Linked DNA regions of Neodiprion lecontei. The main gene of each other region encodes a partner of the protein of the gene in region 2 in a complex. Links are inferred from orthologs where the notes say so. Each region holds a gene or a part of one and is shown on either strand. Other genes may lie near its edges. The genes, in order: uncharacterized protein LOC107221970, NADH dehydrogenase [ubiquinone] 1 alpha subcomplex subunit 13 and NADH dehydrogenase [ubiquinone] 1 alpha subcomplex subunit 8.

Region 1 (2,635 bases), on a different chromosome or scaffold from region 2:
TTTTACTTAGATTGTTCGCGATTGACACTAGACGTTAACTTTACTGTCCGTTATGTAACTAGTGCGATGTTTTGATTAGTTTTGATCAAGGCTCTTGATTTGAAAATTTTATTGGTTTTGGTTTACGTCCTTGAACGGCTTACCGAAGACTACTCCGGCAATCAAGTATCGTAATGTATTCATCCTGACTTTGTTAACACTTCGGCCTTCAGTGATCAACCAATCGGCAAGCTTTCATCTTCCGAATTTCCCGAAATGGAATAATGTGTGGTGGCATTTAGTGAAGAATGGAATATTTACTCTTTCCATTATGAATATTTGAAAATGTATGTCAATTTTTCGTATTTGTAACAATAATATTCGTTTGAAATGGTATTTGAGATGTATCTTTTGTAGAAATATTACTTCACACCCCGATATACATGTTTTGACGGTGCAACTGAAGTGGAAGACGAACAGAATTTACTTAGGTAGGAATAAATTTTATTATCAAAGAAACGAATGACACGGTATAGAGCTGTCATTCTATGTTTTTTTTTTATGTCTATTCCAGATAAGCCAAGTACTACAGATTAAGCATTATTAATGTTGATACTTAGATTTCAATAGCTGTCTCTTTTGGGGGGATCAGCATACGGTTTCGGAATAATTCCTTCCTTGTATTGGCGAGCCTGCTCTTGTGCGATGGCTTGGACACGTGCCTTTTGCTTACCAAGTGTTAAGCACTCGTGGTAATCCTCAAACATGTCGGAACACTTTTTGTAGCCCTTTGGTATTCCATAAGCTTCCATGCATTCGTAAAAATGCAGCTCGTAATCTTTACATCTATGCGATTGCTGAGCATTGATAAGACACCCTGTCAAGTCCATGACGGGTGTGCGGAATGCCGGAGCAAAATCCATGATTGAAACTCTGAAACATATGACATCCGGTAAATGGCATTTCAAATAGAATTCATTTAACTCGTACCTCGCTTCTTAAAACCTTCGGCTCTCTTTTGAAATTGTTGCAATTCATTAATATATCAACAACCTGTACGTCAATTATGTGTAAGTAGTGTACAGCTGATATATAGAAACATTCTCGAGGAAACTAACTGAATGACTATCAGATCCGCAACCTTATGAATAAACTTTTTCAAATTGAGTCAATATTCGACTACCGTACAAAAATAAATTAGAAAATCGTAGGGTGTTATTTGAGCAATGACAAGAATATGTTTTGCTCATTCTTCAGAAGTTGTTGAAATAAAAATAATACAATCTATTTGATTATACGACAAATGAACAATGTATTATAATAGGAATAACACGTATTATAATAGGAAACCGAATAAACGTGATGAATTTTGCAAGAAAAACATAACCTCAACAACGTATCTGAGCTTATGCAACAACTTATATAACCCCGATAAACAAAGTGAATTGTGATGAAAAAGATTGATAAATGCATCCTATCATCGTAATAAATCCATCTTATTGTTCGGGGATATTTTATTAGTTTGTATCAACTTATTGCAAAAACTCACCGTTGACTTCGTAGGTTTCTCCGAATATAGCAAACGTCACTACAGACGTGCTATAGAGACACTAGCTCTGCTCATCGGTTGGCACCGGAAGCTCGTGGAATTCAAAATAATATAATAGCTCACACTAGAAGACTCTGTGGAAAACTAGAACCTGCATGTCTCGAAGTTTTTTTCCTTTTTTCACTCTCGAAGATAGTGCCTAAGAATAGACTCTACGAAAGCAATAAAAAAACTAAGCATTTCAGCATGATATAATATAAACGTGAAAAAAAATCTTGTTCGAACATTGTTAATATTTTCTGTTTTATATGTTATACATAAGTCCTGATTTACATTTACGGCATTTGCATTCAGCACAGTTCGGAAAACCGCGTTCACATTTACATGCAAAATTTGATTCAATGCAGACTGTGAAGAAATTGAAGGATCTTAACGATGTTATCATTTTTTTTTTAACTCATTGCAGAAGCTGTATAAAGTTGTAGTTGTAAAAATAAATAATCTGCTTCAGATTGAATTATGAGCAAAGAAATATTTTTTACCGTCATTCAGCCGATTAGTAACGCCAATACTTGGAATTATTGTTACTACTAATTCTCGTCACGAGCAAACAAGGATTTGGTATGGATATAGTTTATTTACAACGAACTTATTGAACAAGATATTTTAATCACAATAAAAAATCTGCTATCTCCTCTCGCATATCATCTAAAGATATTCTTTGCCTTACGGAGTTTTGTAAAAAGTCCGGAATGCTGTGTTGCTTGTCCAGATCTTTAAATATTAATCTGCACCCATAGCACAGGTACTTCTCAAAATTCTTGGCAGACATTTCAAATTTCTCTTTGCCTTTGCTACAGCTACAGTTGTCACAATTTTTCGAATCACGTAAAGGTACATTCTCAGCTGCATCGATGACACAAGGAAATTTTTTTAGCTCAAACGCGGCTTTGCCAATATTACCCTTTGGCCCTTCTGCAGATATCAATTTGGAAAACTCTGTGGCCTGCAGAGAAGAAGTGTTCGTAAATACTGTGTCTAGCTGAGCCCTACACAGGGCGCATGTCTCGATTAAATTACTCGCTTCTAAATTGCCTATACTTAGTT
Region 2 (3,912 bases):
AAACACTCCAACACATTTTCATTTGCGCAAAAATAAAGAAATAGCATGCATTCTACGAATTTACAATTACGATTTCGTAGAATCCATGCTACTTCTTTATTTCTGCGTCGGATGAAAATGCATCGAAGTGTTTTTGTTTGAAATTGTGTATGGAATGGTTCTGTTAAGCCCCGTTTCGCGTTTGATATACGTGGACTTCGATATTTGAAAATATATATGACAACGTCGAAATCGACCTTAAACTGTCTTGAACTGTCTTACGAATGGAAAATAGCAACTTGAAGTGTTACCCAATGTTCGCGAAAGGTTGGGCAACGGGGCCTGATACGAATCATTCGTCACAGTCTGCCAGCGGTGCTGATCCTCGCAGCGACTTTCCGGTCGCATCTCAGCAACGCCATCCTGCTTTGAGGAACAAGTTTCATCGCATTCTTCCATTGTCCTCGATCCCTCCATCACACATGCCGTCAAAGTCCGACGAGATCTGCATAAATTTGAGAGAAAAACACCGCGAATCCGTACCGAAGAAACACTAACATGACTAACAAAGCATTGTCTCCATAGCGACGCTCGACGCAATTCCACGCGACTTTTTATTTGGAAGTGTAGGAAGAAGCATATTCGATTGGGCAGCATTTAAAAAATGACAAATTCAACGTTTTTATGTATGATTTATTTTTGAAACTTGCGGGAAGACATAATGGACACCACTCAAATATGTCGTTTCAGCTTCCTCGTTTCCAAAAGTTGGCTGATGATAGGCTTATATTTCTCACGATTTTCGGATTATAAACACTGTTTAGGCACTGCTACACAATTCAAAATATGTACTTCAATGCTCTAATCCAATCTTAAATAATTCTAGAAATGCTATTCCAATTTTTTATTTTTTAAATATGTTAGTCGTGTTATAAATTATATTTATATTTATAACATAAATTATAAAGCAGAGTTATTCACCTTCACTTGTAGACTAGTTATAGCCGAACTAAGAATCTAGAACTAAGCAGATATGACATTCAATGTGCTTATTTTCGTCAAATTTTCTAGTCTATGCCAAATTTCCACAAAATCTTCTTGGATTTCTCAATCAAATTGACGTCAATGTTTAGCAAAAGTCATTTCACAATATATAACTACAAAAGTCTAATTGCCGACACAAATATTCCCAAATCTTAAAAATGAACAATAGTTATCAAACATGTTCGTAAGACTCTGCGTTGTTTCCATCATACACAATTTTATTTAACACATGTAAGAATTACAATCAGCACTAAAATATCATTATGTGAATCTCTCTGGAATCTACTTTGGGTTTTAAACTTAAGTCCACAATGAGATTTCAGCACGGTCCTGATAATCTTTATCTGAAGCAAAAGCGTAATACTCAAGACAGTCAGGATCTATCAGTTTACTGCTCTTGGCCGTCTTGTAAATAGGCTCTCCATAGTACGTTCCAGTCTCCCAATTCTTAACGTTCTTCATAAGTTCCGTTTCAGAGTCACGATTCCGTCTCAGCTGCTTCAAATATCTGGAAAGTCGGAACACCGCAATCAAGATAAAAGTTTTGAAATAAGAACTTGTTCAAACCAAGTCGATTAAACTGTCATACTCTCGATCCCGTTCAGCAAGCAGTAGAGGGAACATGACCATTCTGGCGCTTCTCATTTCAACTTCATGTTTTTTTATGACTTTATAGCCCTTAAAGTAAATGTAGAATGAGACTGACGTGACAGCGAAATATCCAAGTATCATCGACCGACCTAAGGACATAAATTAGAACAACTAATCATCTGCAGGTTAAATCGAACCTCCAGTTACATAACATAACCAAGTATCGCAACAGCTGAGAAACTGTGACTCGTGACTTGAATTGATGCAAGTCGAGTGATACTGTACCGCTGAAAATGGACCGCAATTTAGTCCTTTCGGTCACAATTGGACCGTATCCGCCCTTCGGCGGCAAATCTTGCGGGGTCGTTTTGGCTGCGGTCGCCATGTCGCACTAGCAGTGGCACTCAACACCAACACCGTTCTTGGACCACGGCGTACTAAACAATGTTAGCGAGGAAACCGGGACAAGCGTGTCGTTCCAAAATCGCGGCCTTGTTACAGTTAGTGCTGCCCTCTGCAGAGATCTATCAGTGACGATGATTAAAGGCAGCAGCGATTGAGCAGACAGTATTACATACATTTCATTATACATCTTGAGTTTTCGTTATCAGAAATTCATCATCAACACAGAACCTCGGTGAAATTTTTTTTTTGGTTTTTTTTTTTTCAAATTCCCTTTTCGCATCGTTGCTGTCTTGCCATTCTCAATTCCCTTGAAATATGTCAAACAGCGTGTTTTCCCCGCCTCAAAAGTTCCTTTGACGTTTAAAATACCACCGACAAATTGATTGACCGGAGATTTTCATCGTTGAGGCGGATATTTTTCTCCTTTGATAGCGGCTAGCAGCTTGCTACAATGGAGAACAAAACTGGCAACAACTTTATCAGCTATGTCGGTTTCGAACAACACGAAATGCAGGTAGGCCTCTATAATTTTCATGTTTACCCCGAAAATAAATACCGCGTTTCATATGTCAATTGGTAATTAGATGGTGCAGAATGACTATGTAAATACTTGAACTTAACCTAGAAGTACCACTAGATGTGATATTTTGCTCTGGAATTTGATCAAGTAATACTGTGTAAACATCCTAAACTCCTTCACGTTTCACTGTTGATTTCAGCTGCTCGGTACAAGCCATCGGGATTCTTTGTCTGAAAATAGCATGAAGCTACTCGCTGGTGAACTTCTCATCGCAAAGGCACAAAATGTATTGATGTTTGCCCCTGTTGGCGATCTGACCCAAGGAATATCCGGAATATTGTCAGTAACAAATTTCAAGCTCAGTTTCGTCACCACTGACGATACCAATAGCGAGGTAAAAATATTCAAATTTATTTGTTTCATTCAAATCTGCTAAATTATTTGCAGATGTTGCACAGACGTGGATTCTTATGGCGTTATTTTAAAGGCGGGCATTAATACAAGATATTGTCAGAATAGTTTAATGTGTACTCATGTTTTTCATGATTCATGTTTGATAAAAAACCCCTGAATGTTAGGAATGATCAACAAATACATAAAATAATTAGCTTACAAGTTGTGATCATTTTATATCAATTAGTCCCTTAGATTTCCGTATCAGCAGCTTTCTCGTTAGTCAGTCATAATGTCTAGTTTGGTCAAGGATGACATGGAAAGACATTCTGTATAAAATCTGTAACTAATTGTAAATTGCATGCACAGTTGAACCAATATCTTTAATTAAGTACTTCTCAGTGTAGTTTTCATAAAGCAGATGGTTTATAATATGCCATCTGTTTAAATATCTGAACAACTGACCAGATAGCTGACAAGTCTTCTTCTTCTGAGGTTAGTTTTATTAATAGTGTCAATAATGTTCTTTTCAGGATGTAACTTATCAGCAAAATAATCTGTGCGGATATACAGACACATGTTTGTCAAATATACACGACATTTATATAATCATAGGTGACAAAAAAAGACGACTCTATACAGGAAGTACGATACCTTCCAAAGTAGAAGGAATCTTCATCGTCTGCAAGGTGATTTATCTCTGGTCCTTAACTTTGTCTGTGTTTGTGTGTTATATACTATGCATACACGTGTATTCTTGCTGTGTGATGAAATGTAGTAATTAATATGAGATTTCAGAATATGAGGACGTGGTCATTTTCATTTAAGTTTTCACCAGTCGGTTGCGGTAAAAATTTACTGACCACTCTACTGCATCACGCTTTCCCTAGTAGGCATCAACTTCTGTTTGCATATGATTACAAGTCAGTATAATAAGTAATGACCCATCCTATTATTACTATTACTATTACAATTACATG
Region 3 (3,600 bases), on a different chromosome or scaffold from region 2:
TTCACAAAGTAATTTACCTGAAAAATGAATTTGTACATATTCTATTTTACCTTGAGAACATTGACTTTGAATTTAGATTGTTTGAAACCTGCTATATGTTTTGGAATCAGCAATGATTAGCTATAGAATAATTTCATTAATATGCTTGTAATTGGTGGTTAATTACATTAACAAGTTTCAGCATATTAGAACAGCAGCTGAAGGCGTATTTATCGCAATTCCGTTGTTAAGGCATGTAACGGAACATTTTTCATATTTAATACAACGGTCAGCCATAAAATAATTGTTAGGTTAACTAACATATGCTCTGTTCATACATAGCCAATTTTAATTGAGAAAGACATACCTATGTGTACTTACCACTAATAATTTATATTTTTTTCAAATTTTGAATACATCACAAATTGTCCAAGGATCCATTAAAATTCAAGTAGGTATGGAAATTTTTAATCAAACTCTCGAATGTATCCCAAATGTACAAACTAAATTAGAGTTTCAATTTCATTTGGATCATCTTCCCCTTACAGGAAATATGGCAAGATTTTTTTTTCAATATACCGTCACAAATAAATGGGAAATAAAATTATAGTACAGGTATAGATTGTATTTACACATTTCCTGTACACAAGAGTTGAGCACTACGATATGATATAGTACACAATCCGTCCACTATGTTCTATAAATAGTTAATAAGAAATTGATTCCATACTATGTGTATTTAGTTTCCAAATATGGATCTTGCACCAAAACGTGCTGGCAGGCGTTCGGCGTCATCCGGTAACTTTGGCGCAGCATCAGGGTAAACTGCTTTGGGCTCAGGTGGTGGCTTGGGCCTGGGTGAATCATGGACCTTTACTTCGCAGAAATATCCAAAGGACGGCCGCTCTATATTCAAGTTATCCAAAACACATTTGTCATAGACCGCTTGTGTCAACCGACAGCTGAAAAGACAAACGAGGAAGATTTTAATTGCTTTGTCGAGAAAGAAAACAAATGCTTCTAATTGCTATGGCAGCCAATGATGTCTAGATAAAGTACCGATTAAATGCCATATCTCCGCTGCTCTTGTCCAGGCAGGTTGCGTACTGAGTAAATTCATCGTAACAAGTTTTCTTTAATTTGCGAAAAAACTCCAGAGCACATGCAGTCACTGCTTTGCCTTCGTTCAAGCAACTTCTAGGATCATCCTCTTCTTGACGGCACAACATAAATTCCTGGACAGAACAAACAGCATTGAAAATCGAGGTTACTTATCCATAGAATTGATGCTTACAATCAATATCTGGTCCAGAAGATACAAATCATCATCAAAAACAACAAGCCAACTGAAAATTTGTTTTATTTGAGAATAATGGATCGTAGACTCTATTTCTATGCTCCATAAATTACATAATAATTCTAGTAACGTTGGGAGGAAAGTTATTTGGGATACAAAAAACAGCCTGAGCCTGAGTCGGAAATTGAAATTTCGGAGTATCGATGGGTCGATGAATCAGCCGAGCTACGTGAGATTGAATATTCATTTACGTTATTGTGGTGCTCGCAATGTTTGCCCATATGAAAAGCTGCGGCGCGCAGAGATGCTGTACCAACGTTAACCTCCTCAACAGTCAGTTCCTCTTCGGAAGGCAGGTACGTTGAACTTGTGATAACCATTTCGTACCTCTGTATCGGTTAGCGGCCGCTTTTCTATATAACTTAATTAACTTATTTTCAGAATCCTCAAGAATCCGTGCAACAACCCGAATGTCACAAATAAAACCCCCTCGACCTGCTCACTAGATCTGCAAACTGCAAAACGCAAGTGACGCAAGCGCAGATCCAAAACTCCGGTCGAACAGCTGAGAGACAGATGTGACAACTCTTAAACGAAAAATAACCGATTCCGACTCATTTTTAGCACACACTTCGCCGTCTACTGGATTCGTTGTCGCGACGTTATTGCAGTAATTTCGTCGATTCGTTGGTCGCGTCGAGAGAAGAGGGAAGAAGTAGGTGATGAAATACTTATGCTAATCAAATAATTGTGTACACCAATGTTTCGTAACCCGGACGGGCAACTCTGGACCGCTAATCAGTAAAATATAACGAAATAAACAAAATCCAGCTGGTCACATCGAAGTATGACACGCGATATGGCTGTCAGCTTCACATAAAATAATCAGATTATCACTACTGCGTGCTAGGTAGAAACTGACAACTTCGAATCACACCGCGCCTTTCTTGCTACACTCCAAATTATATTCAAATGAGAAATACTTTCGTTCCTTCATATTTCAGGTACAAACACAGTGTTACCTACTTCAGCTCCGGTACTGTTGTCAATATTCCAGCTTTGCCATCATTTCCTCAAATTGGAAATCAGTATTTTATGTTTCAACCTTATAAGTTTCAGCCAAATTTTCTTTACAAAGATAACTAGACTCTAGGAATAATTTATTTGTCAGAATCGCAGTTATTGTTACTGCGTTCAACTCACTTCAGTGAATTTTGGGTACAGATTGTAATGTTATGGCTTTTTTATGTTGTAACTGACAATTGTTTCAATGCTCAGGGTCAATGCAAATATTTGATTAGTTGGTAACAAATTCACAGACTAACTGCTAAGTGTTGCAAAAATTACAGAAATAAGAATGTGTATTCACTCTAATAGAAACACTGACCACTTGTCATATGATATGTAATTACAGCGAGAAAAAGAAAGAGACTTCTCTGATATGTCTTATACGGAATTAGAGTACGGCTACCAGGTAAGTGTATTCATTATCGACTCTGTATGAACAATTTTCTTTTCCTGTAAATTTACGCTGTTTTTTTTTCTGTAATTAACGAACTAGCCCAGAGAAAGTATTTGAAGATCATATAATCGTTTGCATATAATAACAAGTTCTAAACTAAGCATTTGCTGTTGGACTCTGAGTTTTATCATACCAATGAATATCCATCAGTAATTTGGTTTTATTACTATATATTTTTGCGCCCTTAAAGTGGTCAATTTTGAATTGAACTCTTGATATCATTAGCTTGTGGCTGGTTTTTATGCCTCCCTTTTTTTCTTCACGCTTGGTGCTCTTTCAATTGTAATCTACGAATATTTACGACTATGTTGACCTTTAGCCTACAGCGGCAGGCTCAGCCTTCTTTGCCTAACATAAGTTTATTGTCACGGTACTTATCTAGATGCTTTTACGCGTAGCCATGGACTAACAATAGCACCAGCTCATTATTACTTCCTAACAATTAATATAATTTCGGTTCTGGTTTCTTGGATCTGAATTTGTCATGATTTTTTTTTTCATCATTCGGGGAAGGGGGAAAAAATAGAGAAAGCAGCAAAATCGAATTAGACACAACAATGATCACAAGCCACGCATTGATCTGCTATTGGCAAAGCAACCAAACGATGTCTTACTTAGTTTGCATTCTACGAACAGGATCTGAAGAATGCAACAAGACCAGTCTTCTACGTAGGAGATATTAACCCAGGGCAATCCCCCCTCGTCGGTCAGTCCTCATCTTCGATCTACCATTCCTCGGTACGAGTGAGTTCAACATTTTAATACTAACTCAACAATTCTAAGACTTCACTTTCCTTCCTCC

Evidence for each region.
Region 1: the proteins of NADH dehydrogenase [ubiquinone] 1 alpha subcomplex subunit 13 (region 2) and uncharacterized protein LOC107221970 are in contact, whole or in part, in a cryo-EM structure (PDB 8ESZ), measured with the Drosophila melanogaster proteins. The link is inferred for Neodiprion lecontei from reciprocal best matches to the Drosophila melanogaster genes ND-B16.6 and ND-15. Residues at the interface, in NP_001284943.1 of Drosophila melanogaster: Leu79, Glu82, Arg83, Glu86, Phe87, Gln90, Arg93, Glu97, Glu98, Leu101, Met102, Asn104, Val105, Trp108, Gly111, Thr112, Trp113, Glu116, Pro117, Val118, Phe119, Lys120, Thr121, Leu122, Thr129, Pro130, Ile131, Phe132, Lys133, Glu134; in NP_001162841.1 of Drosophila melanogaster: Phe30, Lys33, Asp52, Leu53, Ser55, Asp56, Glu59, Cys60, Met63, Lys65, Gln66, Leu67, Met68, Arg69, Phe70, Ala72, Met73, Arg74, Glu76, Arg77, Gln80, Glu85, Arg86, Phe92, Ala93, Asp94, Pro95, Pro96, Arg97, Val98.
Region 3: the proteins of NADH dehydrogenase [ubiquinone] 1 alpha subcomplex subunit 13 (region 2) and NADH dehydrogenase [ubiquinone] 1 alpha subcomplex subunit 8 are in contact, whole or in part, in a cryo-EM structure (PDB 8ESZ), measured with the Drosophila melanogaster proteins. The link is inferred for Neodiprion lecontei from reciprocal best matches to the Drosophila melanogaster genes ND-B16.6 and ND-19. Residues at the interface, in NP_001284943.1 of Drosophila melanogaster: Arg63, Asp64, Ile66, Glu67, Met68, Ser70, Ala71, Asn73, Val74, Ile75, Phe76, Pro77, Ile78, Val80, Ala81, Glu82, Arg83, Asp84, Arg85, Phe87, Leu88, Arg89, Leu91, Arg92, Arg93, Arg95, Val110, Gly111, Val118, Glu124; in NP_001163296.1 of Drosophila melanogaster: Val2, Ile3, Thr4, Asn5, Asn6, Thr7, Thr8, Leu9, Pro10, Glu11, Glu12, Leu15, Asn16, Val17, Gln18, Glu19, Leu20, Leu27, Arg28, Ala31, Phe32, Leu34, Gly35, Asn42, Phe45, Met46, Arg49, Asp54, Pro55, Arg56.

The regions. Positions count from the first base shown.
Region 1 is NC_060260.1:32,705,236-32,707,870, reverse strand, and holds uncharacterized protein LOC107221970, read right to left. Parts: upstream 903-2,635; coding exon 603-902; downstream 1-602. Other genes in the region: cytoplasmic tRNA 2-thiolation protein 2, read right to left, coding at 2,199-2,635.
Region 2 is NC_060262.1:19,822,575-19,826,486, reverse strand, and holds NADH dehydrogenase [ubiquinone] 1 alpha subcomplex subunit 13, read right to left. Parts: upstream 2,061-3,912; 5' UTR 2,000-2,060; coding exon 1,900-1,999; intron 1,764-1,899; coding exon 1,613-1,763; intron 1,532-1,612; coding exon 1,324-1,531; 3' UTR 652-1,323; downstream 1-651. Other genes in the region: uncharacterized protein LOC107227562, read right to left, coding at 291-636; myotubularin-related protein 10-B, read left to right, coding at 2,471-2,533, 2,739-2,933, 3,466-3,621, 3,731-3,855.
Region 3 is NC_060263.1:14,711,541-14,715,140, forward strand, and holds NADH dehydrogenase [ubiquinone] 1 alpha subcomplex subunit 8, read right to left. Parts: upstream 1,787-3,600; 5' UTR 1,657-1,786; coding exon 1,528-1,656; intron 1,215-1,527; coding exon 1,039-1,214; intron 942-1,038; coding exon 719-941; 3' UTR 584-718; downstream 1-583. Other genes in the region: inositol hexakisphosphate and diphosphoinositol-pentakisphosphate kinase 2, read left to right, coding at 2,718-2,750, 3,435-3,542.